6 linked regions of the Kluyveromyces lactis genome follow. The protein of the gene in region 3 purifies or fractionates together with the protein of the main gene of each other region. This does not show direct contact. Links are inferred from orthologs where the notes say so. Each region holds a gene or a part of one and is shown on either strand. Other genes may lie near its edges. The genes, in order: RTR1, IWR1, RPB5, TFG2, SET2 and SPT4.

Region 1 (4,697 bases), about 800 kb from region 3:
AAAAGTGTTTAACACACAGGGGCTCCGCCGGGAATCGAACCCGGGACCTCCCGCACCCTAAGCGGAAATCATACCTCTAGACCACGAAGCCATTTAGGTCAAATTTTGGGAGTTTGACTGTTCTCTGAAGTGATCAGCACGCAACAGGGCTGGAGAAATACTAGAAACAGTAATCGCGTAGCTCGGATGATTTATAGTGAGTGTCATGAATAATCACGTACCACAACTGATTTAGATAATTGTCGTTTTCTTCCTCACTGTTACTTTGAATATAGCGGAGATTGTTATGGTTTTGCATCATTATGGAACATAAAGAGACTTTAGAAGTGATAAAATGAGAAAAGGAGTTCGAGGATAGAGATAATGCTCTACTAGTCATTCAACCGAAACTTGGCAACCACAATGTTTACAAATCAAACAATATTGTGTGTAGCTTGGTAGTAGAATTTGTTGCTGATTTGTTGCTTAAAGTACACAGGAGGCAAAAAAAAAAAATTAAAAAGAAAATGATTTCGCCCAGGATCGAACTGGGGACGTTCTGCGTGTTAAGCAGATGCCATAACCGACTAGACCACGAAACCACTTTGCTGTAAAATGACGTCTCACACGGCACCATACGAAGCATGTATAGCACGCTGATCTGTATGTTTTCAAAGTTTATGACTATTGTCAAGATGAGATGAGATGCGATGACATGAATAGATGAGTAGTTGAAAACAGGAAGAATTCAAGGTACATCCTACTCAATCTTATCAAATTGATGAAGCTCTACAAAGCAGAATTATATCAATGGTACGACCATTTGGAGAGATAGGAAGTCATAGGAAACACGTATTGGAATGGTACAGATATTCATTACGAAACATTAGGGCCAACGTACCCACTGATAATCTCCAGATTGAGCTTTGGAACACATTGAGACAAGCAGTACGACGTAACAGAAATCATAAAGCTGGCTGGTACGTACGTGGATTATTGGAGGATCTCTCTCATCTGAATAAGTATATTGTCGGCGATGATATAATCAAGCTAGTTGCTCTAAAGAACAAATACACAGAGCAGATCGAGCCTGCTCCAGAACCGTTGCAGCAAGCGAACAAACCAATTTCTGGTGTGGTGGTAACTGAAAATATGGGGGATGAGAGTCGAAGGGAAAAAAAGAAGCGATTAGCACCTATTCCTGGTGATGGTGATTTATACCGCTACCTTCTTAGATATTATAAAATATATGGTCCGACTAAAACGATACCTCGTAAACATATCGACGAGCTACTCAGACCTCTTGCAATCCACGAGAGATACTGTAAAATTTTGTACAGGATTGAGTACCGCATTGCCAAGGGCCCCCCTAAAGTTTCTATTAACTACACCAACGCTGGCCAATCCCGAATTTGGTTCATACGATCTCCATTCAATAGGAAGGCACGCCAGTCTAAGAAATTGACAGGAATCATAATTAAGGCACGGCTTAGAGCTCAAGATAATCTCGATAGATTTAGGGAGTGTGAATCCAAACTTTTCTATGCATTTCAAGAAGCACAATGGGAATATACATTGATTCACAAACAACCATGTTCACGAAAATTCAATGACGTCGTGACACAGATAAAGAGTGGTAAGTCCAATGACATCCCTGCAGTGTTCATCGACTGGATAAAACCAATCCTCGAAGATATGGACATTCTCAACCGGATAAATGCTAATACACAGCGTAAATTCACCGAAAGTAGAGATCACTTAATTGACGGAAAACAATATGAATATTATAAACAACTGAACCAAAGACTTTATAAAAAAAGGCTTGAACGATTCTTGGGCTTGAAAGCAGAGTTACCAACGACAAACCCATTTACCGAAGAGAAAAATTTAGGTGCTTTGCTTGTTAAATGGAGGTTCCTTAGACCAGATCAATTAGTGAAAGTTAAATCGTAAATAAAACTATTTTATGTATGACTATATAATGCAGGATTGTCCATATATTTTGAGTTATAGAGTCAAAATGCTCTACCTCAAATATGTTTGTACTTGTCATCATTCTGTCATTTCATCTATCTCGTCCTAAATCTCCAATGATATTTGGCTCGTTGATCTCTACGATCTTAATATCAGCTAACATGTCACTGATATCCCTTTCCATTTCCTCTCTACTATCATCGTCCGCGAGTTTCAAATCAGTCATACCACGAATCATCTGCTTAACATCAGACTCTCTAGCTAGTACTTCTTCGAGCAATTGTATCTCACTAGGTGGCTCATAATCGTCAAGATGTACACCGACCCTAGCAAACAAAGCCTCGTCTGAGAGCTGAAACTGGTAAAACTGTGAACATCTAAAATGAGCCTTAGTACAGTATTCTGTAAGGTATGCATATGGGTTATTTTGTCTTAAGAAATTGGTCATCTGTACATCTGCGAAGGGATCACGTACTCTCGCCTGGCTTTTGCTACAGAGTGGATATCCACAACGCTTCACCAAGTTCCTTTCTTGGACTAGATCCGCATAATCCTGTTTGGTAAGGAACCTTGAAATGTATTTCATCGTCCTTGCATCTTTCACGTCTTTTGTAATCAATAAGTCTATTAAATTGATACTTATAGTTTCCACTTCCCTTATGGTCAATTGTCGATGGTTTGTATAGGGTTTTAATACAACCTCTTTGATTTCTTCAATGGTAGCCATTGCTATAGTCTAATTATTTTGGTAAATTATTTCACGGTCGTAGTTGGTCAAGCAGCTGTATGAGGTCCCTTATTCATGTGCTTTTCTTAAGTTTACCTTCTTTACTTTGGCACTATCAACCCTTCGATGTGATTTAAGCAAGGACTTTATTTTAATTCAATGTAGATCGAATTCGAGCAGACAACAACAACAGAAGAAAGAAATATCCATGACGAAGTAAGGTCCTTAGCACTAACCGGTCAGTTGTGCCTCAACAAATGAGTTCACAGGATTCTGAAGCCCACCTCAAAAGGCGAAAGGCGAGGTCTAAGGAAAGCAGTTCTGGTGCTGGGAGAAGGGTATCGGTTGAACAAGACGTGAATACGGTGTCATCATCGATAAAGAACTTTATATACCAGGAGATTCTTCCCCAAACAGCCAAGGTATTCGAAGAGGAACCATGTGATCAGAGTGAGAAGTCTGTTGAATATGATCTGGAGCAGATTGCGAACATACTGAGGGTACCATTCCAAGTCGAGCAATTCTTTGTCTTTGCGATATTGACTTGTTTGAACTGCTTCTTGTATTACTTTACCATTATACCACTTAGGGTATTCCATGTATTAGTGGTGAAACGAGATGGTCCTAAAAGAATACGACAAGAGCTTCTTACTACTGCGATGATTCTTGGACCCTGTTCGATATTGAATGTCCTTGACACCTCAAGAATATATCATAAAATTAAGGGCCAAAATGCTATTAAACTATACATGATATTTCAGGTTCTTGAGATGACAGAAAAGCTCTTATCAAGTGTTGGCCTTGATCTATATTCAATTATCATGCTCAAGAAGAGTGCCAAACATAAGACAGAGATGGTAATGCTATATATTGCATGTTGTTTATGTTTAAGTTTCCACGCGTTGATATACATCTACCAGATTCTTGCCATGAACGTTGCGGTAAACTCGTATTCTAACTCCTTATGGACGCTACTGTTGTCAATGCAGTTTTCAGAGTTAAAATCTGCAGTTTTCAAGAGAATTGATAAAGAAGGATTGTTCCAATTGACTATGGCTGACGTCGTGGAAAGATTCCAGTTGATCGTATTTCTAACGGTCATTGCAGTGAGAAACTTTATCGTAGCAAGAAAGAGCTTGCGCGATGTTTTACCACACTCATGGAATGTTCATTCTACACAGTCCTTGATAGTTGGTATATTTATAGGGCCGATTGTCACAGTAATTGGAAGTGAATTGATAGTGGATTGGATCAAGCACGCATATATTATCAAATTCAACAGAATCAGAGCGCATATCTATGAAAGGTATTTGCAAATTCTTTCCAAGGACAACCTATCCAACAGTATCCAATTCCAAAAGAGGTTAGGTTTGCCGTTCCCGCCACTAATAGTAGCCTTCCTAGTACTGGTATGGCCTGCCATCAGGCAAACGATCAAGAATAATATCATCTGGTCCACTGTTCTGATAATATTTGGATTCCTATGGGCTCTACTCACAAAGCTAACACTTCAAGCAATACTGTTGAGATGGACGTTACATATCCAAAACAAACAAGCCAGCTTGCACCCAGATCCTTTGTATATCAATGGCCATCTCTCTGCTGGAAGAGGAATGATGGATGAGGATGCCCGCAAAATGACACACTCTAGCCAGACAAGAACTTATTCACCAACAATTACACCACCAGGATCGCCAAAACTCGCTGCTTTTGAAAAGAAGGCAAGCATCCCACCTAGCCTCAACGAGCAAAGAACCAAGAGAGATCTGAAGCATCCTAAATCGCTAGAGTCCGTTGAAAGATACAAGATGGTATCAAAGAGGATTTGGTAATATTTAGGTGCCTTAAGCAAAGGGCATAGCAAAATGTAGTGATTATACAGCAATATATAGACCGAGCATAGCAAGATTAAATAAGAATTATCAGAATTTGATGCATGCTGATGTTAACTTCGGCTCCGTCTCCTCTTTCCAACCTTAAATAGTGTATCATCTCTACACTACATAATGGATATTAT
Region 2 (5,417 bases), on a different chromosome or scaffold from region 3:
TAATCTCAGACAAAAACAAATGGAAATCTCCAAATATTTGGGTTTACCGATTGCTAATATACTCAGAAGAACCGCTCAGCGAATTTTTGAAGAAACGGATCAATATTACATTGTTGATAGTGACATAGAGTTGACTAACGAAGTTAGTGAAGTGGATCAAAGGTTAATGAATGGTGTTGAATGGCTAATTGAGAACGGACTCTATACTGATAGTATTGATACTATAATTGCGTTATCGAGGCGCTTCTTGATAAACGGTAAAGTAAAAGCGCTTGAGTTATTTGTTGACAACCATGATGTACCCAATTTGTTAAAAGAATATCAGTTAGAAAGGCTATCTTCACAGGAAGAGGATCATGATTTGAAAACTACGGAACTCTTACAATATACATCGTTATTATCTACCTTCAAAAAGCAAGAAGAGTGGGTAAAATCATCGCAACTTTTCAATACCGAGTCGAACTTGCGATCCCTAATTAAGCAATTCAAAGGTTTCTCGAACACAATCATAAAGTTAGTAACGACATTTTTGGTAGACCTGATAGACAATGAAGAAGTGAATGATTCAGACGTTCTGTATGAAATACGGGCCTTATACACTCCATTTTTGATTATGGAGTTGCACAACAATTTGATTTCCGCATCGGAGAACTTGAAGGTATCTACATTCGTTCAAGAAGCCATTGACCTCTCCATTTTGGTTGCCAACGAAACTGATAAGATATATCTGTTATTCCAAAGTAACGGCAAACTTACTACATATCTACAGATGGTTGCAAAGGCATCCGCATTATTTGGAAGGTAACTTAGAAACAGAAGTTGGAGTTTTTAAGCAGTACATATAATATTAATTATGTATATATAAACATATATGTAAGCGAAACCAATCGAAAAAAAATAATAGCAACGACATTAATTAATTGTAATTGAGATTAGTTTATTCTTCTTCCTCGATTAGACCCTTTTCGGAAACGTAGATACCATCCAAGAACTTACGGATATCCTTGTTTCTGACACGACAGATTTGTTGGATGTCAGCAGCGTTTTGGGAAACGTTTTCGACGGAGTTACCAGACAAGACAATTTCGTCCTTTTGGTTGGTGGAGAAGTCAACAGAAACACCATCTCTGACTGGAACTTCTCTGACCTTCTTGTCACCCAAGAAGTTTCTGATTTCGATGAACTTAGCACCGTCCTTTTCAATGACGTTAACGTTGATTGGGAAATGCGCGTAAACGTATCTCAACTTGTACTTGTAACCCTTGGTAACACCAGTGATCAAGTTGGAAATCAAAGACTTGACAGTTCTCAAAGCAGCAACGTGCTTTCTGTCACCGTTGTGAACGGTGATCTTGATTTGTCTGTTAGAGACCTTGGTGAAGGTAACATCGATGTGCTTCAAGTTCTTAGTCAAAACACCTCTTGGACCAGTAACCTTGATGTTTCTGGATCTGATTTGGACGGTAACACCTTCTGGGACATCTAGGACTTGGTCAGTTTGAATGTACTTCATCTTGTCTTGTTGTATTCGCTCACAGCCTATCTGAAAACCAAAACCAAAACAAAGCAAATGCACTCAACTGTAATACTGTAATACTGTAATTAACGCCTGTTTCAACAAACAATGCAGGAGCCAAGTATAACTGGGAATGCTTGCACATCATCTTTGTTAACCTAGAGCTTTGCAATTGGTGAAAGTTGGTCAATCTTGCAGACGCAGGAAATGAGACTTCAGAAATTTTTCACCAAACACCCAGACATTTCACAGTATCAACGACTTTTTCTGTGGAACCTAGCGGTTGTAGTTCTCATCTCAAAAAAAAAAAAACCGCAAAAATTCCTCTTTGGAACACCTGTACATAATAGAATAACAGTCCCGCAGTTTTTCAATGATCCATTCCCCATCCCAAAGAATATCTGACTCACAACAAGGGAATTGTGTCAGACATCCAAAACGACCAAATTAATCACACTTTATCTATCATCTTTTGCAGCTTGCCGAATATACGATCTCTGTGTATAGCATCTTCATCGTCTTTGTCAGTTGGGAAGAAGTAATTTCTCTTGAATGTCTGATCATCTACGTCCATTCCAGTATCGTGATCGTCATCAGCCTCTGGCTTCAAATTGACAAAGTCACCGTCGTATTTACCGTTGTCATTATCACTATCGGCATGGTCATCGTCGTCGTAGTCAAAGTCGACGTAATTATTGGCATTCAACGAGCTCAAAAGATTGGAAGATTCTCCGTAATTTTGAAATAATGCATCAAACTCATCACCATTATCATTGGTGGTTTCGTTAGCCTGCTCACCGTCCACATTATAATTTTGATCCAGTTCATCATTTAATTCGTCAAGGTATACTATATCTTCTGAATCCGTCCTATCTTCGTCACTTCCAATAAAAATTGATCTGTCATCGTCTTCATCTTCCGGATAATCGTTCTGATAATAATCTTCCTCATTTGAATCCTCATCGTCAGTCAACATTGTTTTCTCTGGATCTACTTCTTCTTCTGGGATCATGTCCCCATTATGCTCAACGATTCTGATGTATCCGATAGTACTCTTATCGAAAACGAACTCCTCCTCATCTTCTGGTATGGTTTGTTTCACATACACATCGTAAACGTAATCTGTAGGAGGCAAGATCGGAGCTGTATATGATTTTGAATGTTTTCGACTTGCCTTGCGTTTCTTGTGCTCTGGTGAGTCCTTCTCCTTTATCTTAAGATAGTCATTTAGCATTTCCGCAATGCTATCCGGTAGCTCTTCTTGCAATTCTGACGCTGCCTGGCGCTCCCGTTCCCTTTCAAGAACGTAAACCATTTTTTTATCATTGTTCTCATTACTCAATTTCAATAGTGGACTGTTAACATCGGGAGTCTCAAGCTCTACAGTCTTAGATAGCTTGAACACGAACTTCCCTTTTTTTGCGTTTCTCTCCTCTTCTAAGAGCAAAGCCTGTACGGAATCCTCATCCCGACGTCTTTTCACTCTGATGTACTCCACGCCAGATATGCTTTTACTCATGTCAGATATATTTGCTTCTGTAGGTAGAACAGAGTCGTTTCTGCTATGTGATTCCCTCATTAATCCATTGGTCTTGGATCAAATGATTCTTATTCTAAGTTGAAAAGGTAAATTTGGTTTTCCTAGACAAAATGATTCTGAGCAAAACATGAAGAAAGTTGGAAAATTGACGCTAAGAACGTCAATTAGTGACAGTAAAGAAAACGATGGCAATTAGAGTTGGTATAACTTTCATTGGTCATAGTATAGAATAGTTTTTATCAGAGAAAGGGTCTCTGATTGTAGCTATGTTTTGGAATAGCTTAAACTATTTTGCGTTGGATCAAAAAGGTACTCAATATGTTAGAGTTCTTGAAGATTTAGTTACCTCTTTTGTGGGTATACCATTGTGTCCACAAAAGGACATTGTTGTAGTTGCTGGGGGCTCGAGAGGTATTGGGTCACATCTCGTTACAATGTTTGATTCCTTGGGCTATAAGACTATTCTCATTGATAAAAGATACCCATTAAATCTTATTGAACCTCATCGAGTGTCATTTTACAAGTGCGATATTTCTGACTTTGAATATACAAGATTAATCTTGGATGATATCTCAGTAAGATTTGGTCAAATCACTGTATTTATCAATGCGGTTTCCTTGAAAAGTTTTACTGACGCCGAAGTGGGGAAAGGTGTGAGTTTGAGAAAGTTAATGAGAACAGTGTATGCGGGCAGCATGCATATTATTCAGCATATTTTACCTAAAATGATAGCGTACGATCGCGGTTATATAATTGACATTGCTTCAACGGAAGGCTTATACACTACGGAAAATAAGTCTTCTTATGGTGCCATACAAGCAACGAAGTTTCAATTACTCCAACTGATTGAACAGACGTTGAAAGAGCAATATAAGAAGAATTTTTTGATCAGCAACGGCCGAGTTCGCTGCTTACTTTTGATTTTTGGTAAAGCTCTTAATTCTAAACCGCACCAGGATATGACGACGGCTAAAACTGTTTTCAGTGCTATCTTTCATAATAGACAAGGTGTTCAGGGATACTCGATGAGGACGAATTTCAAATTAGCTCTAAGAGAATTGGATTGGCAATGGTATCAGATGTTCAAATATTTATCCCCCTTCCTATAAAACTTTTGCCGTTTATGAATATCCGTTCCTTAATGCCGCTCTTGTTGAGAATCTAAACGCGGGAGGGTGGAATTCATATATGTAAAATGTATATATTCAAAAAAATCTGTTAATTCAAAAGCTGATTATGCTTCCTGAATGCGATTATGTAGCTCTTTCCATATTTCAAGATTTCTAGTGGCATTCTCCTTCATATATTTCGCATAATTCTTAAAGATTTGAGTCAATTCTTCGTCACGTTCTTTAATGAAGTTTGGTAATTCAGTATTCTTTAGAGTTTCAGAAATAACGACGAGATCACTAGTAGCAACTTTCAATGTTTCATCTAGTTGTATCAACTCTTTCTCTAAGGATCTTGCAGCTGCTGCAGGATCTTGTTCCTGATAACTGACAGAGTCCTTAATTATGATTGCAAGTTGGGTAAACTTATTTATGAATTTTCCAGAGTAGCTTTGTGGTCCTGCAGGGTTTTCTAGATTCACTGCTCCATTTGTACCAAGCTCTTCCTTTACCATATTGTCTATTTGCTTGTGGTCGTTTTCTTGCTGTTGGAACTTGATGAGTTGACCTCGCTTGTAAAGTATTGTCCTTTCTAAGATATCTTTTTGGATCAACTTTAACCTTCTATAATGAATTAAATCCCGCACAGCAGTGGCCATGTGGGCACATTCACTAAGAGGCTCATTAATGTTGTAATGCAAATTTCCGACAAGAGTTTCCAGAATTTCTTGCAGAGTCCCATATGCATCACTGGAGTGTGAAAGTAATTCTGCTAGTCCACTCTCGTTCTTTGTTTCGTCAGTTGACAATTGTGCAAACTCAGAGCTGATTCCTTTCAAATCTTCCCGTAAATAGTTCACCTCCTTGGTAGTAGCTCTTGAGTATTTATACAAACCAGAATGTATCAATTGTTCGTAATTTTTGAATTCCGCTTCAATTTTAGTGAACTCATCAGCGTCCGAAGCTGAATGATTGTCCTTTGATGCCAGCAGTTGTGTTGATGATGACGGTACTGGCAAATATGAATGTGCTTTTGTAGTGTTTGTAGGGTCTATTGGATTGCACTGAAGAACACTTTTCGGTAATGATGAGATAGTAAGAGAGCTTGTGATTAGATCGTTCCAATTTTTATTGTTCGGATCCAAAAAGTCGTACACGATAGAAGTCTTTGTTATTTCCTGGTTTTTCAAGAGTCTGTTCAAGAAACTTGTAAGCATCCTGATTCTGTGCCGTATGAGCTTCTCATCATTCG
Region 3 (4,836 bases):
AACAATCATGCAACTGACTGTACCTCAAAAGATTTTAGTTTGGTATGTTTAACACAGGTGACTTCCACAATGTTGTTTCTTTTTTTTAGTTGCGGAAAGATCCCTTCAGCGGGAACGTGTTGTTTTCGAGTACCTGTGATCTATTTTGGCAAGGCAACGTTGGCTGAGTGCTAGTATTTGTGCTGTTGAAATAATATTGACTCAGAGCTTTTGAGAGTTCGTTTTAATTTATCGGACTGAGATCACTTTGAATTATCCGGAAAAGTGTTATCTCAACACAGAGTTTCATAATTCATAGATATATTTCAGTGTAAGAGTATTAAAACAACCCGAAATTGGCTTCAAGTTTTAGAAGATAAAAACTTCATTCTTTTATTTTCTGCTTAAGAACTGGGAACATCACTGCCCAATCACAACTGAACGCGTCAGCTATATACATCGACAAAAGCCATGCCTATACAACCATTGAAAAAGGAGTTGGTTTCCTTCTTAGAACCATACATGCCGGAAAATGCTGGCGTTTTGGGCGAACAGGAAAAGCCGTACGTTATTTTAACTTATGCGCAATCGTTGGATGCTCGTATTGCGAAGATCAAAGGGACTAGAACTATTATCTCTCATCAAGAAACTAATACAATGACCCATTACCTCCGTTACAAGTTTGACGGTATCATGTTGGGTTGTGGTACTGTCTTGGTTGATGATCCCGGTTTGAACTGTAAATGGTGGCCAGATGATGAGCCAAAACCAGAACATTTTGCTGAACATTCTCCAAGGCCCATAATTTTAGATCCAAACGGGAAATGGAAGTTTGAGGGTTCCAAGATGAAAACTTTGTTTGATTCTGGTGATGGTAAAGCACCAATTGTAGTCGTGAAAAAGCTTCCAGAAGTTGTAGAAGAGAACGTTGACTATTTAGTGATGCAAACTAATTTTACAGGTAAAGTGGACTGGCACGATTTGTTCATCCAATTGAAATCTCAATTCGGATTAAAATCCATCATGGTTGAAGGTGGTGGGATTGTTATCAATGATTTGCTACAGAGACCACACCTTATCGATGCCCTGGTCATCACCGTTGGTGCCACCTTCTTGGGTAGTGAGGGTGTTGAAGTGTCTCCTCTTATTGAAATTAATTTGAAAGATATCTCCTGGTGGAAGGGAACAAGGGATAGCGTGTTATGTTCACGTCTTGTGAGCCATTCCTGATCTTTACCTGTTTTCCTAAAAATTCGAATTCTTATATCAATGAACTCTCTTAATTCAGACATGCTATGTTCAAAACGTGATTAATCATTTCCTTAAATAATTGAAAAAAGAATCGTAATTAGATTATGATATCCCCTGATGGGTTCTCATACGAAGAGTGTGTTTAAGGCCCTATTAGTTTCTCTTGCTCTAATTTGGTCTATTATTATACACACGCATTTACTTTACTTAGGGTTGGGGAATGGCTCTTTTTAATTGCTCTTATAAACAGATTCTGTAACTTGCGTAACGTCCAGAAGTTTCAGACTTTCTAATAATTTTTATAACCTCGCCTCTTTTCAAACCAAGGTATAATGCTACTGGGTCCATTCTTTGGATTCTAGGCAATTGAGATTCCTTTAATCTATATCTTTTTAATAATTCCTTCTTTTCAGCCTCACTTAACCTGATATGCTTTGGGACTAGTTCGTGATGTGTAATATTGACAACCAAAGATGCTTCTGGGAAAGTCTCGATGACTGCTGGTGCTGCAGTTGGTAAAATCTTGTTTGCACTTGGAGTAATACCACTTTGATAGATGAATATACCAGTTTGGAAGTTCTTTTCCGTAATATGAACCACAAAATTCTTCATCGTCTTCACACCAACAGATGCTTCATCACAGAATTCCACCCATAATGAACCCATCTCAGGAAATTTTTCTATTGATTCTTCGGTTGGATTGGACTGGAAAGACATCATCTTACGTTGTGGCTTGCCCATAGAATCACAGTATTTAGCCTTAAAATCTTCTAAACTCAAATCTATTTCCTCCTGGGTAATGAAATATCCACGGTCCCTAACCATTTCCTTCACCGTTTTAAAAGCTCTCCATAGCCTGGAAATGTTTCTCTCCTGCTCTTGATCCATTGTTACAAAAATTGTGCGTCACTTGCCTTTGATATCTTATGAAACTAACTTTTTCCGCTTGAAGATTAGTTCGTATTAAATTCTAAAATGCACAAACAAGTACTAAGAACTCAATTATCGATATGCACAAACAAGTACTAAGAACTCAATTATCGATATGCAAACTAATCTTACCCCTTAATTTCAACCGGTACAAGGACTATTCGGCTACCTAACTTCAATCTTTTCTTAAATTTCAATCAACAAATTAATGGATTTGTTTCTCATCGCTTTCTAAATTTTGGAAAATTTTGGCTGAAAAGAAAAAGAAAAACTTCAACAAACCTTCGAAATTTCAATGCGATGAAAGAAGGAAACAGAGCCAAACCATCAAACTCGTCCTTCATGATTTCAGTCACGTGCCTGTCTTGTGTTGGTATGGAATGCTCTGAGTCAAGGGCGGCAGGTGTAGTTCTATGTTTGTATATATGTCTATATTTAGTTATATATATATATATTGATAAGCCTGGGTGAGAACTTAGTCTCACAGTCTCTCTTAATTTTAAGTCGGTTTACGTCTATATTCAAGAACAATGTCTGTGTTTGATTTCCAGTATAAAGTGCGTATAGCACTCAGGGTGATATCGTTTTCTAGTACTGTTCCTTTGCACAAGATTTCTAACCATTCGCTTGGATCTTCTTTGTTTTTCATCTCAGGTGTCTTTGATTCGAATCTATCCACTATGTAAGTCTTGATCTTTTTTGCCTTTATCATATTTGCAGCTGTTAATCTAACATTGCTATCGTTAATCTTCGGTAGCATTAAGGGTGATTCAGGTGGTTTAGATTTTTTGTGGAACCCTGATCTTTTATGTTCTACTACTAGTCTTTCAGCCTCTGGCGATTGTTGCGTTTCCTCCGATAAATGAGCCTCGTCCTTCCAAGGCTGGATGATGAATGTGATTTTTGGGTACGTCTTAATGACTTTATCCTCTTTGAAAAGAATCTTTCCAAGCCATATCGGGAGATGTCTTTCTAATGATTCATAAGTATGGTAGTTATCGATCAAGTCGTTTGCCGTATATGTAGGGGGTGGGAGATATGTGGAAAATGCAATAGTTTCCCCTGTGGACCCCTCTTTCCAATGGTTGACCGTGAGAATGCATCCACTCTTGATTTGTATCACGGGTCTAGTTGAGTCTCTGATGAACAAAGTCTCGGGGATCCGCCTCCCAAACTTCATGAACGTTGATGAGGAGTTTGGAGCCTGTTTCAAATAAGCGTGATAAACTTCTTCGATATATTCGTTCAAGAAAAGTCCTGGCTTTCGTTCAGACAGATCTTTGGAAAAACTCTTTGAATTGAATTTGAAGTTCACTTCACCATTCCCAGTAGAAGAGATACTATGAAGGTCATCGATGCTGTTAGTTTCTAGTTTTACCCTCGATGATCTGTTATGGAAACCAAATGTGCTTGAAGGTGTAGCAGATCTCTCGATACTTTGTTCAGTAACAGACCTTGTCAAAGTGAGGTTCGCCGGTTTCGATGAAGTAGGTAGAGCAGTTGCTGGGCCAGGTAACATCATTCCCATCTCATCTTCGCTTTCTTCGATTATGCCGTGATATGTATGTGGGACGTCAGGTATACCATTGGGGGTGTTGGGGGCCGAACTTTGCGGGGTAGTGTTATTTGATTGAGTGAACTTGGTAAATATAGATAATCGTCTTTTCTCCTTGATACTTTTGTTGTCTTTATGTTGATCAGGGTTCGTATGGTCAGAGGCCATTGAGTTGTGTCTTCTTAATAGATTTGGAGTAGATGGAGGAGTTTGCTTCTTTGTGGAAGAAATATCTTCTCTGAATTTCTTATCCTTCGCCAATTCATAATCAATAAAACCATGTAATAATGAATTGACAGCTATACGACCCAAATTGTATCTTTCGTCCAAATTAATTTCGTCAACTTTATCCTCGTTGACTATTACATAATCGGTGAGGGCACTTCCGTATACTTCGGTATTCAGGAAACGTTCATTGATCTTTACAAAAAGAATGCCTCGTTTTATCGAAACGGAGCACCAGTGCTGTAAGACTTCTTTGGGATTCAGTTTTCTGACCACCTCATCGAAATTACCTTCGTCTCGGCTGATTTTTTCAACCAGCTCACAAGAAACAATATCCCACTTCTCCAACTCACCGGATGTATTTTCCGTGATGACATGTCTGCGGTTTGTCAACAAAGAACACCGCACTAGTGCATGGCCACCTTCTATAACCGTGAGCTTCTTACTCAACAAGTTCAACTTGTTTAGATCCGAATTTCCTGATCTGGAGAACCACAACACATCTTCTATAATGGCCATTGCCAGAATGCCACCTGTTTTTGTGTCGCAATCGCTTGGCTTGTAGATAACAGATATCTGATTACCTTGAAGTTGCGTTATATTACCCATGCAGTCGCCAAGAAATAAATCTTTAGAAAGCGTTCCTTCTACCGACCATATTGCGTGCGACAACTGTTTGGTCCAAAGGCATTTGCCACTTTCAACATTCCAAAGTTTGATCTCTCCATCTGCGCTTGTACTAAGAACGGTTGTTTCATCATCTAAAAGCTTCAAAGTCTTTAAGTTCACACCAGCTGCGTCATCTATGGTTCTTATCACACTGTAACTATTTATATCGTACCAGCTTAAACGGCCTTCGTTATCTCCAAAGATAATGACGTCCTTCGTAGCAGTCA
Region 4 (5,453 bases), on a different chromosome or scaffold from region 3:
GGGAAAATTCATACTGTGTATAACCTCAGTCATTTTTCCTTGTGAAGCCCAAAATAAAACTTTAAAAGCTCGCAAAGACAATTAACACAGGTAAAAAAAACCTACCACTGGACGCTTAATACAAGCTGTATTATCATCATTAGAGTAGTAATCTTATCGTCTCATCAATGAAAGAATGCAGATAAAAAGTATGCGTTTATTATAACTTATTTGACGAGTTTGTTCATTTCAATCTGGATGGTTCGTTCCTCAGGTAAAAATTGCCAGTACAAAGTGCTGGTAATTAAATCAATTCAAATTCAATTTAAATTCAATTCAATAAGAGTACTTACCCCACACCATGGGTTGAAACAGACGATTGGTGGAATTTCCAAAAAAAACAGTTGATATGGTATTAAAGAAAGTATTAGTGTCTCTCTAGACTACCCTTACAACTTGTTAACGTTGAAAGTTGGTGGCAAAGATTGCAACAATTTCTTGGCCTTACCAGCATCGTTAACAATCAAGGTGTACAAGTATCTGGAACCTCTTAGCTTGAACTTGGTTTGTCTGAAAGCCTTACCGTTCTTGTTCAACTTCTTGTTGATCTTGACGGTAGCAGAGTTGACATCTTGTCTTCTGATCAATTCCAAGAATTCCTTAATATCAGCGATTTCCTTAGCCATTTTTGTTAATGTACTTCCTAGTTGTTGATGCTTGGAGATTCACAGAAACTATTAAGACAAAAGAGTTAATAAACTGTAATTAAAAGTTATAAAGAATACTAAACAAGAACCGATAATACAATGTAAAAAACGCTAAACATCAAAAAAACACTAAATGGACATATACAAAACACCACTATTAACGACAAATGTTAAAATCTAAAACGTTAAAACTGTCGAAAGTTGTTCGAAACTAAACGTTTACTGGCTTGCCAATTGCACAATACTCAATGAGCACAGTCGATGAGATTGGTGAAAAGTTTAGTTGATGGTGTGTGGGTGTCAGGAGGTTGGCTTTTAGAGATTTTTTGGGTTTCTTTGAGTATTATACTACCCAATTGAGAATTTTCTCGTTTTGTATCCGGATGTGTGGGTTTTTATTTTTCAGTGTTTGGAGTGTATGGGTGTTATTTTAACAATGGACAGTCCTTTGTTAATCACGTGATTTGAATTCTTTAATCCTACTATTGGTTCAGGTCACAAGAATACATCACAGGACTAGACATGCCAGCATCATGAATAAGATATCCATTCATTTACTAGATAACCGGTGGGGCATGATTATGTGTATATATATATATATATATATATATATATACTATGTTTGAAGGGTTCTACAACACATCCTCCATTTCCACGTCTTCCAAGTCTTCCTCCTCTTGCTCGTTCTCCTGTTGTTGTTGTTGATCAAATTGGTCTTGAATCTGCTGCTGTTGTTCTGGATCAGCGTGTTGTGCCAATTCACCAAGCGTAGCAGCTCTTTCAGCTTCCTTCAACTTTTTATATTCCGATTTTAAAGTATATTTCAAGGCATACGGACCCTTTTTCACAAGCATAGCAACTTGATCTAGCGATTCCTTTAAATATGCTTCTGGTTGTCTTGTTCTCTCCTTCAAACCTTTCAAGGACCAATAATCGTATTCATCAAACAACTTGAACAATAGATCCAAAAGTTCCTTCTTTGGCAAACGGATAGCCCTTGCGTTGTTCTTCTTTTCCTTTCCAACTTTTAAGAACTTGGAAGTGTCGGATCTCATCGACATACCGGCGTTACTCATAGTGACACCAGGAGTTTGGTCAAGCACCGTAACCGTTGGTTTGTGGATGTTTCTAACGATTTGTCTTCTATGTTCCACAATTGTATGGTAATTTGGATCGTCTATCGAGGGCATCACTTGACATTCGTGGTACACTTTCCCCGTCACTGCAGTTTTCTTCGGAATAGTCTTCACGTACGGGATGTATCTATCTCTACCGTCCCTATCCGTCATGACACGGTGCTGAAACCTTCTCTTGTTGTACTTACGCTTCATCTGCTGCTGTTTTTTCTTCATCTCTTCCTCTCTTTCTTGTTTCCTTATGTATGCCTGTCTTTGCAACTCGGGGTTCGACTCCAATTCCTTGGCAAACTGCTGATATTTCTTCAAATTTTGTTCAGTGAATACGTACTCGTTCGTGACTTCTTTCTTGGTCAACTCTAAGTCATATTTGTGCGGTATGTCCTTGTTGTCCTCATCCTCATTCAACAACAACTGGATCGAATGGTCCGCATTATTAATCCTAACTTTACCCAATTCTTGTCCATGCAATGCAGTACGGTTTCTCCAATTTTCAGCTAAGAACTTAGGCAGACGTACAAGCCAAATCTTCTTCCTGGCGTTGGATAGATCCAAGTCTAACGATTCCTCATAAACCTTTTTCTCATTGTTCTCAATATCGTTACCATCGAACGCCTCTTCACCGACTTCTTCCACCAAATCTTTACCACTGGATTCAGACATGATTAGATTTTTAACTATTGGCTTGGATATATGAGACCTAACAGGTACCTCTATCCGGATTCTCTGCTTGCTTTTGTCTTCCTTCCGCCTTCCTGTTGTGGCTTTAAGTTGTTAAAGTTGTTTCAATTATCAATTCGATAAATCTTTAAAACTGACAAAAACAGCTAGCCATCAACGATAAAATAAACAGAAACTAACCAAGTGGATTGGCACCTCTGCCTACGGTGTATTTACGTTCATCAAAGCAGGCGTCATGAGTCATGCAGTCGAGGAAAGGTACAACAGTCAACAGAAACCGTTGAACGAGAGCTGCAATGAGTATATACACGAGATACTTAAAGAATGGGAAACCCAAGAATCTGAATATACTGTCGTGCCTTTGAAACGGGTTAAGGTGGCATTGTTCCCACTTCTAGTGGCATTAAGGAAACAGGAGCTCGGTCAATTGCAATTATCCCAACTGGCAAGAGTATTAGATGCCATTGTAGATGAAGATTACGTGCGAGCAAAGCAAGAATACCTTACTTTAAGTATAGGTAAAGGGAAGTTTCCGATCGGGTTAACCAACGTTGGTATACACGAGAGGAAACAGCAGTTGCAAGGCAGCAAGGCACAAACACAAGAGAACATGGTTCTTGATGACTGGTGCGTCAACATCAAACGGCTTGTCAATTTCAAGCAATGGACATCTTCACAGCGAAGAACCGCATGATTTTAAATATAGAATTAATTTCAAACCACTCTGATGGCTACATGTTACATAACCTCGGAACTGGAACAGAAACAAAAAAAGGAAGCGGTAAAGGGCAATCAAGCGACGAGAAGATGGGTGGTGTAGTCACTAGTATGGCTGAGTCTAGTGCTCAGGACTATGGTATGGAAAAGTATGATGATTTCATGGGATCAAAGTTTCAACCGGTGAAGGATCCATTCTATTCGGAACTAAGTAATGGGAAAAGGGTTCGAAGGAAGTTGCCTGCATATTGCACGAAACAGGAAACCAAGACATGGAAACGGTTACAGAACCGAGCATGGTACGACGACCGATGCTTCCTCGGGTGTGGATGTATCTGGATTGATTGGGGCATCGGTTGGGCCACGGTACTTTCGTTGCTTCCTGTGATCGGACCGATCTTAATGTACTGGGTACACAGCTCTACGGTGGAATACGCAAGGAAACGGTACAATTTGCCCAACGATCTGTTGGTGAAGATGCATGCAAACATAGTGTTTGATCTATTAATAACGTTACCCCCGATAATTGGCACGTTTTTGACCTGGATGAACGCATGTTCTACTAGAAATGTCGCAATGGTGTACAATTACGTATGTAAGGATTCGTGGCAGAGGTATCTACAGCAGAACCCAACACAAAGTGCACCGGTTGGGTTCCAACCGATGCCAATGGCTGCGAACCCACAAGTCCCAGCCCAAGCAGTCCACCATCAGGTATAAAAACCTTTGTGCTTGGGACAATCCGTTTAACAGTGTGTATTTCTATATAAAAGAAAATGATAACGCATATGAAATTGAAGACAACTACAGGCAAACCTCATATAAGGTAAAGAGTTAAAGCCATTGCTCCCCGCTAAACCTCAAGCCATGGTTGAATTGTATGAAAATAGGGTATGGATCGATGGGTGTTTTGATTTCACACACCACGGTCATTCTGGAGCCATTCTTCAGGCAAGAAGAACGATTCCAAAAGATCAACGTGATGGATCACTTCTCATCTGCGGAGTTCACAACGACGCAGATATCGAACATCACAAGGGTGGTAAGCCTGTCATTCACGAACAAGAACGGTATTACCATACAGAGAGCAACAAATGGTGCGACCAAGTGGTGAAAGACGCACCTTACGTGACAGAACCCGAGGTTCTTGATTCGTACGGTTGTAAATACGTTGTTCATGGGGACGATATAACCACGGATGCAAACGGTGAAGATTGTTACCAGCAGATGAAGGACAACGGCCGTTTCAAAGTGGTGAAACGTACCGAGGGTGTAAGTACCACCGAGATCATTGATAGAATACTGAGGAATGTCCCCCAGACAAACCAGCAAAAAGCAAGTGTCGATCGTGAGTTGCTGACCATGTACAGTACAGATAAGTCAGGATACGAGCCCTGGAGTTGGGTATTTGGCCAAAATTTCGAGGATGTGATAGTAGAAGGAACTGGCAGTGTCTCTGATCAGAATTGGGTTGTAGTAGAGGAACCAGATGGGTTTGATCTGTTCAATGTGGGACATATCCAAGAGTTACAGAAATGGAAAGAAGCAGGCAAAAGAGTGTGCTGCAGCATGTATACCGACAAAGACGTGTTCATGACATTGGAGGAGAGGACTTTAAGCGTGCTTAGCTGCAACGTGGTGGACGGTGTGCTTCTTTATCCTGTGTCACGTGACACAACGACTGCCAAAACTATCACCACATCTCTCAAAGACAACATCATACAAAGAATTAATCACGATAGGGATCATTATATTGAAAGAAATATAAAAAAGGGCATTACGTATGAGAACTAGCATATATAGGAAGAACGAATGAACAAAAGGCAGCAGCAGGCAACTTCCAGAGTCGCCTTGTCTCATCAGTCGTAACAACCCAAAACCAGCTTCTCAAATCATCTAAAAACATGAAAAAAGTCTATCAATTACACGGCACCACCGAGTAAATGGAGACGAGAGTGATCATAACATAACTCTCTACCGTTTCTGAGAGTTAGAACCTCTGCGTTGTTTGTTGAAAGCAGGTTTAATCTCACCCATATCGATCAAATCTTCTATCTCGTCCCCTGCTTTACCCCAATTACCTTTACCATAACCGTCTTTCTTCACAGAGTTTGGGGAAACACCGTAGTGCCCATTATGAGTGAAATAGTGGGATTCAGCCTTAGCTTCGCGAACGGTCCATTTGTTAGTTCTAGCCATTTTTAAATTGTGTGTGTGGGTGTGTTTTTGCGTA
Region 5 (6,394 bases), on a different chromosome or scaffold from region 3:
TGTTACTGTTGGGGAAGAAGTGTTTCAAAATGAGCCGTTTTACATGACGGATGATTTGAAGACTTTGTTGTACGGAACAAGAGATAAAGCATTGTTTGAACGGATAGCGAACGATAGGTTACACAATGGTGGATTTCGGTTGATAATATCGCAGGAATTGGGACATGTAACTAGTCGTAACAATTATCAGGTTGTCTTGGACCATAGTTCAGTAAATTTCCATACAGGGGCGCATATCCCACTAAATGAGCTTAAGGATTATATATTTGGGTCATCGATAAGAACGATTGACTATTCTGCGTCGAGCGACAAGATCAAAGTCGTTAAGAGTGCAAACATTGTTCTATTCACGAGGATTTTCTATTTAAATGAGAAATCGACGTTGAGAATCGCTATAAGTTGTTGTGTCACCGACGACGTTCTGCCCGTGTTGACTGAATGTTGGCCTCATATATCGTCGTTCTTGGATCAATGTGAGAATACGTTGTTGAAATATCTAGCGAAGAATGACACACAATTCTTACCCCATGATTGGAAAGCCAGAAACTGTATCGAGGTTGCTGCCGTCTTACAAACTTTCCAACGTAAAATTATACCGTTATTATCCGGGTATTCTGATACCCCACGATTATTCCTTTACCCTATGGATTCAATACCTTACATCAAGACATGGGTGAAATATGTAACCAATTGGATTGAATTGAAGGATGGACCCAGAGTTCGTTTTTTACCTATTTTGCTGGCAAAACTACGGTATGATTTCGCTTCGCTTTTGAAGGAAAACTCGAATACAAGAATCGTTATACTTACCGGTAATATGAACGTTGCCAACAGGCTCATATTTATCCTTACTGCATTCCTTGGTCCACATTTCCGTGGGACTTTACATAAAAGCATCAATTCCCAAGGTTGTCCATCTCCGGCTGGGCGTAAAATGTCAAACATGAGTGGGGCTTCCGATTTCCCATTCGAATTGAAACCTTCAAACAGCAGCATAACAGAAACCAATAAAGGTTGGGAGATACCAAGAATCAAAAGAGACCCGACATTTAGCGTTACCAGCGTTTCTTCCGATGAAACAGGGGTACAAACTTTCATTCAACCTTCATCGCTGAAAAGTGGAGCCTCTTCGGTCCAATACCTATCATCATCGTTAAATAGTGCATACGGCAGTTATGGATCTTGGTTCAAGAAAGTCGCACAATCACCGTCATCCAGATCCAACGAATCCTCGCATGAAGTACCTCCAATTTTGCACCGCAACAGCAGTAGTACCTCCTTCCATCAACAAGCAGTGCTGGGCAACATCAACGGTTCACAACGTGTAACACCTCAGCCATCACCTACCATTGCAGAATATGAAGAATACCCATGGTTTTCCCCGTCACCAATTGCAAGGGATCAGCCAAGACCAGAGAAAAGAATACCCACACCAATATCTTCTTACACCACAGAAAAGGAAAGAAGAACGCATTTACAGTCTGAAATATACGACGTTGACATGAAACGAACCGTGAATCGACTCATCGACGAGGACTCTTTAAACGACGCATTCGCAGATCTAGTAATAGATCCACCAAGCTATGACACAACGGTCTCGAACGAAAAGCATGGCGAAATTGTAGAAGTTAATATGGCTTCTCCCAGAAAACAGCGCAATAATCAAAATCAAGAACTATTACGAAGGTTCACGTCCTACACTCCACACTACAACCAATGGTTCCAACTACAAGCGTGCCAGATCACCACAGAATCCGAAAACAAGGTGATCCATTCGATGAAGAGAGATTTAACGTACGCAGATCAAGATCCATGCAAAAAAGATAAATCCACATCAACGTTACTCATCTCGCTCAGATCAAGAGAGATCAAACAAGTCACTATCGTGAGAGACACAAATAACAGATTCATACAGAGAACAAAGAAGATATTGCAAAATGGGAAAGTGGGTCCCGTCTCGAGGGCAATGCTCTCAGGCATAGAAACGACAGACCAGCATTTAAAGAAACTCATGGAATGCAATAACGACAACGAGGCATTAGTTTCCCTCTTCAACGATATAGTAACGTGTGCCTCAACATAGGTTTAGAGAGTTTGGATCACGTGTCACGTCACTATATACGTTGTGATGAAAATCAAGCTTTCAAGGCTACCCAAAATTTTTGAGAAAGCTAATGGTTCGGGTCTCTGATGCCCTATAAAGCTTTATTCAGTTGGAAAATGTTGATTAATCACTAGGTTTATATGTATTAGATTGCTGTTTTTGGTTGTCAGATCTTTTGAGAATTGTTCAGTCGGGGGACTTAGGCTTTAGGCAGGGATAAAATCTACAGTGCTGTTTTGTTGTAGCATAGTATATAGAATTGGAAAAAAAAATTAAAGCATACTTGGGGAAGACAAGGAACGAAAGATAGAGAATAGAACATTGGTGTGATTATTTGATCTAATATAACATCTTCAGAAGGGCTATCACTCATATTAAGTTCTGTGTGATTATCAATTGTATTTTTTTGTTTGTTAATATTATGACGGAAAGCGGTAATGGAATTGTTAATACGAGGCAACCGAAGTTGTTTCTCGATGTTCCGGATATGACTTCTGAAGCAAAGAAAACGTACGCTGAGCTGGATGTATGTACGTATACGCCTAAAAACTTGGGTGATTCTAAGCATGAGTTTATGGAATGTGACTGTTTTGAGGAATTTCGGGACGGTTTAAACCATGCGTGCGGTGAGGATTCTGATTGTATAAATAGAGCCACTTTAATTGAGTGTGTGAACGGTCTTTGCAAACACTCGTGCGGTACTGACTGTCAGAACCAAAGATTCCAGAAGAAAGCGTATGCAGATATATCTGTTTTCAAGACGGAGCGGAAAGGTTTCGGCGTCCGTGCCAATTCTGATATTGAACCACACAACTTTATTTATGAATATATTGGAGAAGTAATACAGGAGGAAGAGTTTCGTAACCGGATGGTGAAATATGACCAAATGGGATTTAAGCACTTCTACTTTATGATGTTGCAGACCGGACAGTTCATTGATGCTACGCTAAAGGGGTGTATTGCCAGATTCTGCAACCATTCTTGTAATCCTAATGCATACGTTAATAAATGGGTAGTTAACGGGAAATTAAAGATGGGTATTTTTGCCAACAGACACATCAGCAAGGGAGAAGAAGTGACGTTTGATTACAACGTTGATAGGTACGGTGCCAATGCACAGCCATGTTACTGCGAGGAACCAAACTGTATTGGATTCCTTGGTGGTAAGACTCAAACTGACGCGGCATCGCTATTGCCTCAAAGTTTTGCAGATGCCTTAGGTATAAGGCCGTCCATGGAGAAAAAATGGATCAATATGATGAAGGCCAAGGGTGAGAAAATAGCTAAAAGTGACACCACAACGGTTAACGTCGACTTCGTTAATTCTTTATCACTAGAACCCTGTACGAAGACTGAAGATGTTAATCGTGTGATGAGTGTATTATTACAGATAGATGACGCCTTCATTGCAGAAAAGCTACTTGAAAGGATCACTTTGACTGAAGATGAAGCAATGCATTATCAGTTCATCAAATTGCATGGTTACTTGATCTTTAGTAGACTTATCACAATGTTTGAAGATAAGCCAGACATTATATGGAAGATTTTAAACTTCTTGTTAGTTTTACCCAAGACAACTAAAAATGGTATAATTCATTCTGGAATTGATAAGAAGGTCGAACAATTAAAGAATACTCCTAAATTTGAAGTGATATGTGAAGATCTATTAGAGAAATGGTCCAAATATGAAACTTACACCAGAATCTCCAAGAAAGATATTTCAGAAAATAGCAAAGTTATAGATTTACGGCGGATACGTTTACCTATCGGTTGGGAAATCATTCATGAGAATGGCAGACCAGTGTATTATAATGCTCAAAGGCAGATCAAACAAGCCAATCCTCCAACTGATTCTGCTTATAGATCGAACTCAAGCCATAACCTTTCTGGAGTTTCTGATCCTAAATCGAGATCAGCAACACCTTCTTCAAATACCAGTCGGTATAGTGGGTCTGTTAAGTACATACCCACGCCTACTTATGGCCAGATGCAGCAGAAAAGAACGCTATCTCCAGAAGAATACGAGAAAAGGAAAAAATCGAGAATCGAGTGGGAACAAAAGGAGTTAGAACTAAGGAAATTAATGGAGCAAGAGACTTTAAAAGCAAAATTGGATCAAGAAACCCAAAAGAAGAGCGAATTGGAGAGAATCATCGAGGAGGCCAATAAACAGAAAGAACTTGAAAGGCTTCAGAAATTGAAACAGCAACAAGAGGATGAAGAAAGGAAAAAAGTAAAGAAACAAGCTAGTCATGTCAATGCTATCGAAAATAAATGGGTCAAGTTCTTCGCTCAACATGTTCCAAACTTAATTAAAAATTACCAAAAGGACGTGGGCAAAGATGTTCTCAAGGAATCTGCTAGAAACATTGTCAAGTCTCTTGCCCAAAAGGAATTGAAGAAAGACAGTTCTAGATCACCACCTGAAGAACTCTCTAAAGAGAAAAGAGCTAAAGTTAAAACGTTTTCGATGCAGTATATGGATCGATTGGTTGCCAAGATGAAAGAAAAGAAAGAGAAGAAACGTTGATATCAAGTAACATTGCAAACACTTTTGTATCAATTCCATGTCATACGTTACATGATAGAAACTTTCAAAGGCCAAGAAGTCAGAAGAAAGGGGGGCAGTCCTCTCATAGCACAGGCTACCGTACCCCTTATGCGCATGTATATAGTTTGATTCGTCCCTGAAAGCGCCGTATGTTATCGAGTTTCTTGTCTTTGTAATTTCCATAATAGGAAGATTCTTTGACAATTATCAACTTGACACATGAAGGTTTAAAGAAAAAACATGGACGTCGAAAGAGAGTTATTTTACAACGCGCTGGAAACCCAAGTATATAAGCTGCCGGTAAGCCAATGTAATCTTGAGATGATTTCGTTAAGATATCACTATTTAAATGCATATCTAAACGTCTCTCTGCCGTGTTAAATTTAAATTTAGGCAGTAATAAAATTCATACTATTCGGACAATATGAGTACTTTTGGTTCGACTTTTTATGATTCTGTAGCAAAGAACTACATATGTGAATGTGGAAGTTGCAAGATAGGAAAAAATGTAGAATTTTACATGGTTCGTTTCTTCATCATGGGTTTTGTTTTACCCGTGCTATGGATCCTTAACTTAATGTTGTACCTTTATGCCAACTGGATAATCGACCACAATGTTAGGGTCCCGGAACTTGACTCTGAAACCTTATATACCGAATATGAATGCCAACAATGGAAACAGCGCAGTGTCACATCACTAAACAAAAGTATTACCAAGGACTTCTACGCTATTAACAACCCATTGACATTTTCCATGCTTACTTTAAAACTACCAGATCCCGTACCATTGACTACGTATCAACATCTCTCTTTGCCTGATCCAACGAAGGGCAGTGATGAAAAAAACCAGTTTTCGGAAAGCGCTACTACCCTGGACGAGGGTGCAACAGACTCCTCATCATTTGAGACGGAAGACGGTGGTACCAAATCCATAGTGACAGCTCAGTGTCTAAAAGAAATCGCTTCTGAACTAATGAAAAATCATGACGTTAATGCAAGAACTATCAGGAACTGGTTTCTGCGTAGCTTATGTGCAATGACAGGGTACACAATATCCATTATAATGATAGTAGTTATCGTTAAGACTAACAGCCAACCGGCATCGTACCGAGAATGAACATATGCATTACTCGTCCGCATTATACAAAAGAAAAAAGAAACTTACAGCATATCAAACGCTTATGAGGGCAAGCTAACGACCGCTGCACGCGCATAGCCCTGATGGAAGGTTGCTAGTTCTGCTTCTCTTTTTTACTCCTATAATTCTTCGTACTAAAAGAAACACATTTTTTCGCTCTCGAGAGAAAAGGGCTTTGCATGAAAAAAAAGGCTGCCGTTGAGAATTGCCGGCATCTATTAATAAACTCCAGACCTGTATCCTGACCACTTAAGGGCCGTCCGACATAATAAATTTACTTGCCGTCATTTAATTAATATTGGTATATAACCGGAGATATCCTGTACGCATCAGTATTCTTTGATAGAGTAACATTTCTCACGTTTGACGCTATTATTGTACAGATCTACGTTGTGCCGGAACAAGTCAAGATAGGATTAGCTTAGAACAGATTAGAACCGATCTATCAGCTTCTTAAATACAAAATGGTACAGGCACTGGATATATTAGCTTCATTATTTGCAGTGGCAACTGTAGCTGCTCAAAGTTCAAATCAGGTACAATCGTATAACCTTATCGAATTCGGTAACGTAGGGTTCACCGGTTCATATACTAACGTAAA
Region 6 (4,534 bases), on a different chromosome or scaffold from region 3:
GGTTACTAAGAAACAAAAGAACTTAAAGAAAGCAGCTCCACTACAGATCAAATCAAAGAAACAATCTCTTCAGCATTTGAAAAAATTGAACAAGACATACTCTATTACAGAATCCACTGAAAGACTAATATCAAGTCGTGTTGGTCATCTCGAGCTATTGAAGGGTACCCGTAAGGAGTTGGCAAAGCAAGAAAAGAAGCTAGAGGGCAAGAAGAAATAAGGACCCATCTTGCTGTGAAGCTTCGAACAAAGACCACTGTTTGCTAAACAGAAATATTAACTATGTACAGTGAAAGTTTTATAAACGATTAAATTAACTTATATGTGTTAAAAGATAGAAGCTCCATTATCTCTGATATGGCCATAGCAAATCGAGAATTCTGTTCTGAATCAACGAATAAACCTGAGATGTGATCCAATATAGTGAAAGTAAGACCGAAGCCTGCGTGGAGACCCCAATTAGAAAAATTGTGCTTAGTCTAGTCGCTGTGAGGATACTGTTTACCGTCTGTGACGTTCTCGATTGTGTGTCAGTAGCAGTGGTAATGCCAGAAGTTCCTACTGCAGTTGCTTGCATCGTCTTACCGTTATACTCAACATTGATCATCGAAACGGTTCCTAAAATGATGGGTATTAGCATTGGTGCTGCGTCCAAGGGCAAACTTAGGTCTAAAGAACCTATATGAGTTAACCAACTTGTCTCTGAAAGATCTTGTAATACATGTGCGTGAGGCATATTTGTGTCCACTAACCTACTATCAGTAAGCTTCCTAAGCCCCATTGACATAGTCACCCATAGAGGGACTTGAACTAACGGTAGAACACTATTCTTCCACATCTGTACGTTGTATTTTTTGAATAAAACTTTTTGTCTCTTACGCATTTCTTTCAACGATAACATCGTTATTTGATCTGGCGTTAACTGCCTTTTTCCTCTTTGAAGCGCTCCGACCGTTTCCTCTTTAGTTTGTATTGCACTACCAGAACTTGTCAATTCTTCGTCATTAGCCTTCGCAGTCATCGAAGCCAATCTTAGCTTCACCACAGGGGGAACACTTTGCACAACTTTCCGAAGCTCTTGCTGCTTCACTATACGTTTCCTTTGCCATATACTTAGTGGTAAAGTGAACACCGTTCTCAATGCAAAAGTGGCAGTTGGTATGAGTACTAACCATGGTACTCCAGAGGCATCGTGTAACTGTACAAAACTATCAGCAATAGCTTGCAATGATCCAAATTGTCTCGAACCCTTCGCAAAATGTACGGCAGGTAATCTTCGAAGTAACATAGTTGATGTAAAACCCCCAAGATACCGATCCAATCTCAATCTGGACTCTTTACTTCACCTTTCAAGGCGAGCAAAGATGTACTGCATTTGATAGAAAATTGTAGTTTAATGGATGATCTTTGAAATGACAAAAAATGTTGAAATGATCAAAAATCATAGTGGACATGGGGTACAACCACCAATTTTACGCCAGATCCTTTAGATATTCGGTAACATAGATATAGATAGATTGATACAGCGATTGCGCTTTTCAATTCAACTTTTTTTTTGGTTTAATAGATATAGTACAGAACATTTGATATATTTCGAAGGATAAATATACATGTAATAAGGGAGCCACCTTATAGGATGCAAGAGGAAATTAATAAATGGGGGCACCAAAACGGCCCCATGACGATTTCAACATAAAAAAACTAAAACAGACAAGTGCTTAACAAGTGCTTAAAATTAATCAACTTGACTTCCATCTCTCGGTTTATAGTGAGGCAAAAGTTCCGTTACCTCTATTGGTAAACGACCATCAATTTTGACAGCGTACATTCCTGGAATATAACTGTCAATACTCATCCATCTCGCTACCCACGACCTGCTAGGTTTACACATACCAACCAAACCTTCAAAAGATGGGGAAGTACATTCAACAGCCGAAACACCTGCCTCTTCAAAGATCGATTGACAGTTCGGGCACCCATTCCTATTGAATTCAGCAGTCGATTGCACCAGTCCACATAACATACAAGCTCTGTCCGTTGACATTTCCCCACTCTTTTCGATGATATGTTCTTATATATATTGAGGCTTTGATTCCAGCTCTAATCACAACGTATGAACTGGTTCTTACCCATAAAAGATCGCATTAACTTACCTAATGTGAGTATGTAGCTTGATGCTTACAGCTTTTTCAAATTGGAAAACTGAGAATCGATGCTCGTTGATAAAGATCATAATCAGGGTAACAACAAATCTGTATAATACCCCAAACAGAGTAAAATGCCACATACAGGGAACGAAACTACATCATGTTATACCCTTTACTAGATGCAACTGTTCGCACGCGTTAGAGACATACTACCGTATTTCAATTCTTAGTGGCATCAACGGTGTCTTTTCTGTGGGAATGGCGGAGTTTCAGCACGGAAAAACTGTGGATGGTCTTAATGAATATTTAAAGGTCAGATTTTCAAAAGAAACTTGAAGATTTCAACCTTTCTGTTATATAAGATGAGGGTCATCCCCCAAATGTGAACAGAATGTAGCTTATTCTCGGTAAAGTAATTCTCATATCATCAGGAAAGAACTAGTCAATTTACAGAGGATGTCTAAGTATATTGCTATCGCCCGTGAAGTAGTTTCTTCTCACAAGTTTGTTCAATTGAGTGCGGGATGGTGTCCTGATTGTGTATATTCCAATTCCATATGGAAGAAATTCGGCGTTACGGACAAGATCTTCAATTATGATATTGCTGAAGTGACTAACAGTAGATCCGAATGGAATGAAATCAGAGATGCATTTCAAAAGGCCACTGGCTCAAGAAACTTGCCAACTTTGTACGTTGATGGTAAGGTTTGGGGTACTGAATCAGAGTTAGCGAGATTTGAAAGGAATGGTACTTTGAAAGAAGAGTTACAGAAGATCGGACTGGTAGATTAGAATATTAGAAGAGAATAATATCTATTATTATATACGAGGGAGAGGAATGAAGTATGTGGTTACTAGTGCTCTTCCGTTTAGATTAGTTATATACACGTTCAGGTTCATTAGTTTCGCTCTTTAAATAATAGTACTCTCCCTCTTTAACTAATTCAGATTCAACGAAACTAGGTATTGGTTCACTCATCTTGGAGTTGTACAAGATGATACCGTTGTCCAATGCATGTCTACGTTCTTGTCTCTTGTAGAAGTACAACACGACGAATGTCCATAGACCATAAATAGCACCGAAGACAAGTGAGACTGTATAACCGACTTTGAATCTTGGGGATTGTTCAGTTTTCCAGGCTAGAGAAGGAATCCATGCATAAGTGGATTGTGAGATGGAATAAATCGCAATCCAAGTAATGGCTTTAACTTGCGGATCGAATCTTAAGAAATCATTGATGAATGACCATAGACATGGGGATGGAGCCACAGACCAATAAGTCATCAAGAAAGCAAACCATTTGGCACCAGAAGACACATCCCATTTAATTAGGATAGCACAGGAGATGCAGTTCATCATAGCTGCAAAGACCATGAAGAACCATTTACAACGGAAGAAATCAGCACCAAAGGCACAGATAGCGACGAAAGCGAAACCTAGACATGCCGGTAGGACAGAAAGGTTATTAACTTGTACAGTGCTGTAAGATGGAATAGAATCTAACCACAATGTGTAAGAACCACTGAAGGCTGTCATATTATTCCAAGAACAAGTATCGAACACAACTAGAACCCAAAAAGTCGGAGTGCAAAACACTTTTTTCCATAACTTTAAGGACAGCAAAGATGGCAATTGGGACTTTTGAACACCATCTTTAATTTGGTTTCTTAAATTCCTACGTCTAGCAATGACGATTTCTTCATCGGTCAAGAACAAAGAGTAACATTTAGATGGGATGCCTGGAATAACAAAGAATCCAATGAAAGCAGTTGGCAATGAAATTGCCATAGAATCAATCAAGAACATCCATCTCCAACCTGCATGGCCCAAAACACCGTTCAAACTTTTGAAAATTCTGGCCTGTAATAGACCGGATGTCACACCACCTAACAATTGACCAAAGAAGAAAAGACACACTCTAGAAGAGATTTCATCTGGGGCGTACCAGGAACCTAAGACGTATTGAGAAACAGGGTAGTAAGCAGCACCAAAAGCACTCAATAGGAAACGGTAAGCTCTCAATGAAGCCAAGTTGTTTGCTCTAAAGCAAGCAAATGTGAACCAAGTCCAACCCATGTCCATAATAGGCAAAATAATATGAGCTGGGAATCTAGGTAACACGTACATGAATGGCAATTGGAAGACAATGGCACCAACGTTACTGATAACAGAAGTGTTAATATAATCGTTACCCTTCATATTCAAATCCTCTCTCATATGGGACACATATGCACTAGTATAGTTATTGGTGTTCAAAGATTTACTCCAACAAAGCATCAAGAAGTACAAACCGATCATAAGATCCAACTTGTACAATAGAGTCCTTTCTGCTTTGGTTTGCGTGGTATGGTTTGGATACATGAAACTGTACCAGTTTCTTGACTTC

What was found.
Region 1: the proteins of RPB5 (region 3) and RTR1 purify together in Saccharomyces cerevisiae (affinity purification with mass spectrometry; 3 studies listed by BioGRID). This does not show direct contact. The link is inferred for Kluyveromyces lactis from reciprocal best matches to the Saccharomyces cerevisiae genes RPB5 and RTR1.
Region 2: the proteins of RPB5 (region 3) and IWR1 purify together in Saccharomyces cerevisiae (affinity purification with mass spectrometry; 4 studies listed by BioGRID). This does not show direct contact. The link is inferred for Kluyveromyces lactis from reciprocal best matches to the Saccharomyces cerevisiae genes RPB5 and IWR1.
Region 4: the proteins of RPB5 (region 3) and TFG2 purify together in Saccharomyces cerevisiae (affinity purification with mass spectrometry; 5 studies listed by BioGRID, with this or other methods). This does not show direct contact. The link is inferred for Kluyveromyces lactis from reciprocal best matches to the Saccharomyces cerevisiae genes RPB5 and TFG2.
Region 5: the proteins of RPB5 (region 3) and SET2 purify together in Saccharomyces cerevisiae (affinity purification with mass spectrometry; 3 studies listed by BioGRID). This does not show direct contact. The link is inferred for Kluyveromyces lactis from reciprocal best matches to the Saccharomyces cerevisiae genes RPB5 and SET2.
Region 6: the proteins of RPB5 (region 3) and SPT4 purify together in Saccharomyces cerevisiae (affinity purification with mass spectrometry; 3 studies listed by BioGRID). This does not show direct contact. The link is inferred for Kluyveromyces lactis from reciprocal best matches to the Saccharomyces cerevisiae genes RPB5 and SPT4.

The regions. Positions count from the first base shown.
Region 1 is NC_006042.1:1,172,047-1,176,743, reverse strand, and holds RTR1 (RNA polymerase II subunit B1 CTD phosphatase RTR1), read right to left. Parts: upstream 2,681-4,697; coding exon 2,045-2,680; downstream 1-2,044. Other genes in the region: RRG1 (Rrg1p), read left to right, coding at 790-1,932; EMP65 (Emp65p), read left to right, coding at 2,938-4,512. UniProt on the Saccharomyces cerevisiae protein: RNA polymerase II subunit B1 C-terminal domain (CTD) phosphatase that dephosphorylates 'Ser-5' of the CTD and regulates RNA polymerase II during the transition from 'Ser-5' to 'Ser-2' phosphorylation.
Region 2 is NC_006041.1:813,539-818,955, forward strand, and holds IWR1 (Iwr1p), read right to left. Parts: upstream 3,096-5,417; coding exon 1,968-3,095; downstream 1-1,967. Other genes in the region: NUP84 (Nup84p), read left to right, coding at 1-805; RPL9A (60S ribosomal protein uL6), read right to left, coding at 938-1,513; KLLA0_E09153g (short-chain dehydrogenase/reductase), read left to right, coding at 3,323-4,165; ATG20 (Atg20p), read right to left, coding at 4,291-5,417. UniProt on the Saccharomyces cerevisiae protein: Directs RNA polymerase II nuclear import. Binds RNA polymerase II in the active center cleft between the two largest subunits in the cytoplasm.
Region 3 is NC_006042.1:1,966,860-1,971,695, reverse strand, and holds RPB5 (DNA-directed RNA polymerase core subunit RPB5), read right to left. Parts: upstream 2,119-4,836; coding exon 1,471-2,118; downstream 1-1,470. Other genes in the region: RIB7 (2,5-diamino-6-(ribosylamino)-4(3H)-pyrimidinone 5'-phosphate reductase), read left to right, coding at 451-1,209; DUF1 (Duf1p), read right to left, coding at 2,660-4,836. UniProt on the Saccharomyces cerevisiae protein: DNA-dependent RNA polymerases catalyze the transcription of DNA into RNA using the four ribonucleoside triphosphates as substrates.
Region 4 is NC_006039.1:1,605,754-1,611,206, reverse strand, and holds TFG2 (transcription factor IIF subunit TFG2), read right to left. Parts: upstream 2,486-5,453; coding exon 1,319-2,485; downstream 1-1,318. Other genes in the region: RPL38 (60S ribosomal protein eL38), read right to left, coding at 429-665; mRNA splicing protein PRP18, read left to right, coding at 2,739-3,197; KLLA0_C18161g (uncharacterized protein), read left to right, coding at 3,239-3,940; ECT1 (ethanolamine-phosphate cytidylyltransferase), read left to right, coding at 4,088-5,014; KLLA0_C18117g (uncharacterized protein), read right to left, coding at 5,195-5,419. UniProt on the Saccharomyces cerevisiae protein: TFIIF is a general transcription initiation factor that binds to RNA polymerase II.
Region 5 is NC_006037.1:594,250-600,643, reverse strand, and holds SET2 (histone methyltransferase SET2), read left to right. Parts: upstream 1-2,525; coding exon 2,526-4,634; downstream 4,635-6,394. Other genes in the region: LST4 (Lst4p), read left to right, coding at 1-2,083; ASG7 (Asg7p), read left to right, coding at 5,080-5,772; TOH1 (Toh1p), read left to right, coding at 6,258-6,394. UniProt on the Saccharomyces cerevisiae protein: Histone methyltransferase that trimethylates histone H3 'Lys-36' forming H3K36me3. Involved in transcription elongation as well as in transcription repression.
Region 6 is NC_006038.1:704,066-708,599, reverse strand, and holds SPT4 (transcription elongation factor SPT4), read right to left. Parts: upstream 2,045-4,534; coding exon 1,736-2,044; downstream 1-1,735. Other genes in the region: KLLA0_B08041g (uncharacterized protein), read left to right, coding at 1-220; membrane insertase COX18, read right to left, coding at 347-1,288; glutathione-disulfide reductase GRX8, read left to right, coding at 2,604-2,939; VHT1 (Vht1p), read right to left, coding at 3,022-4,534.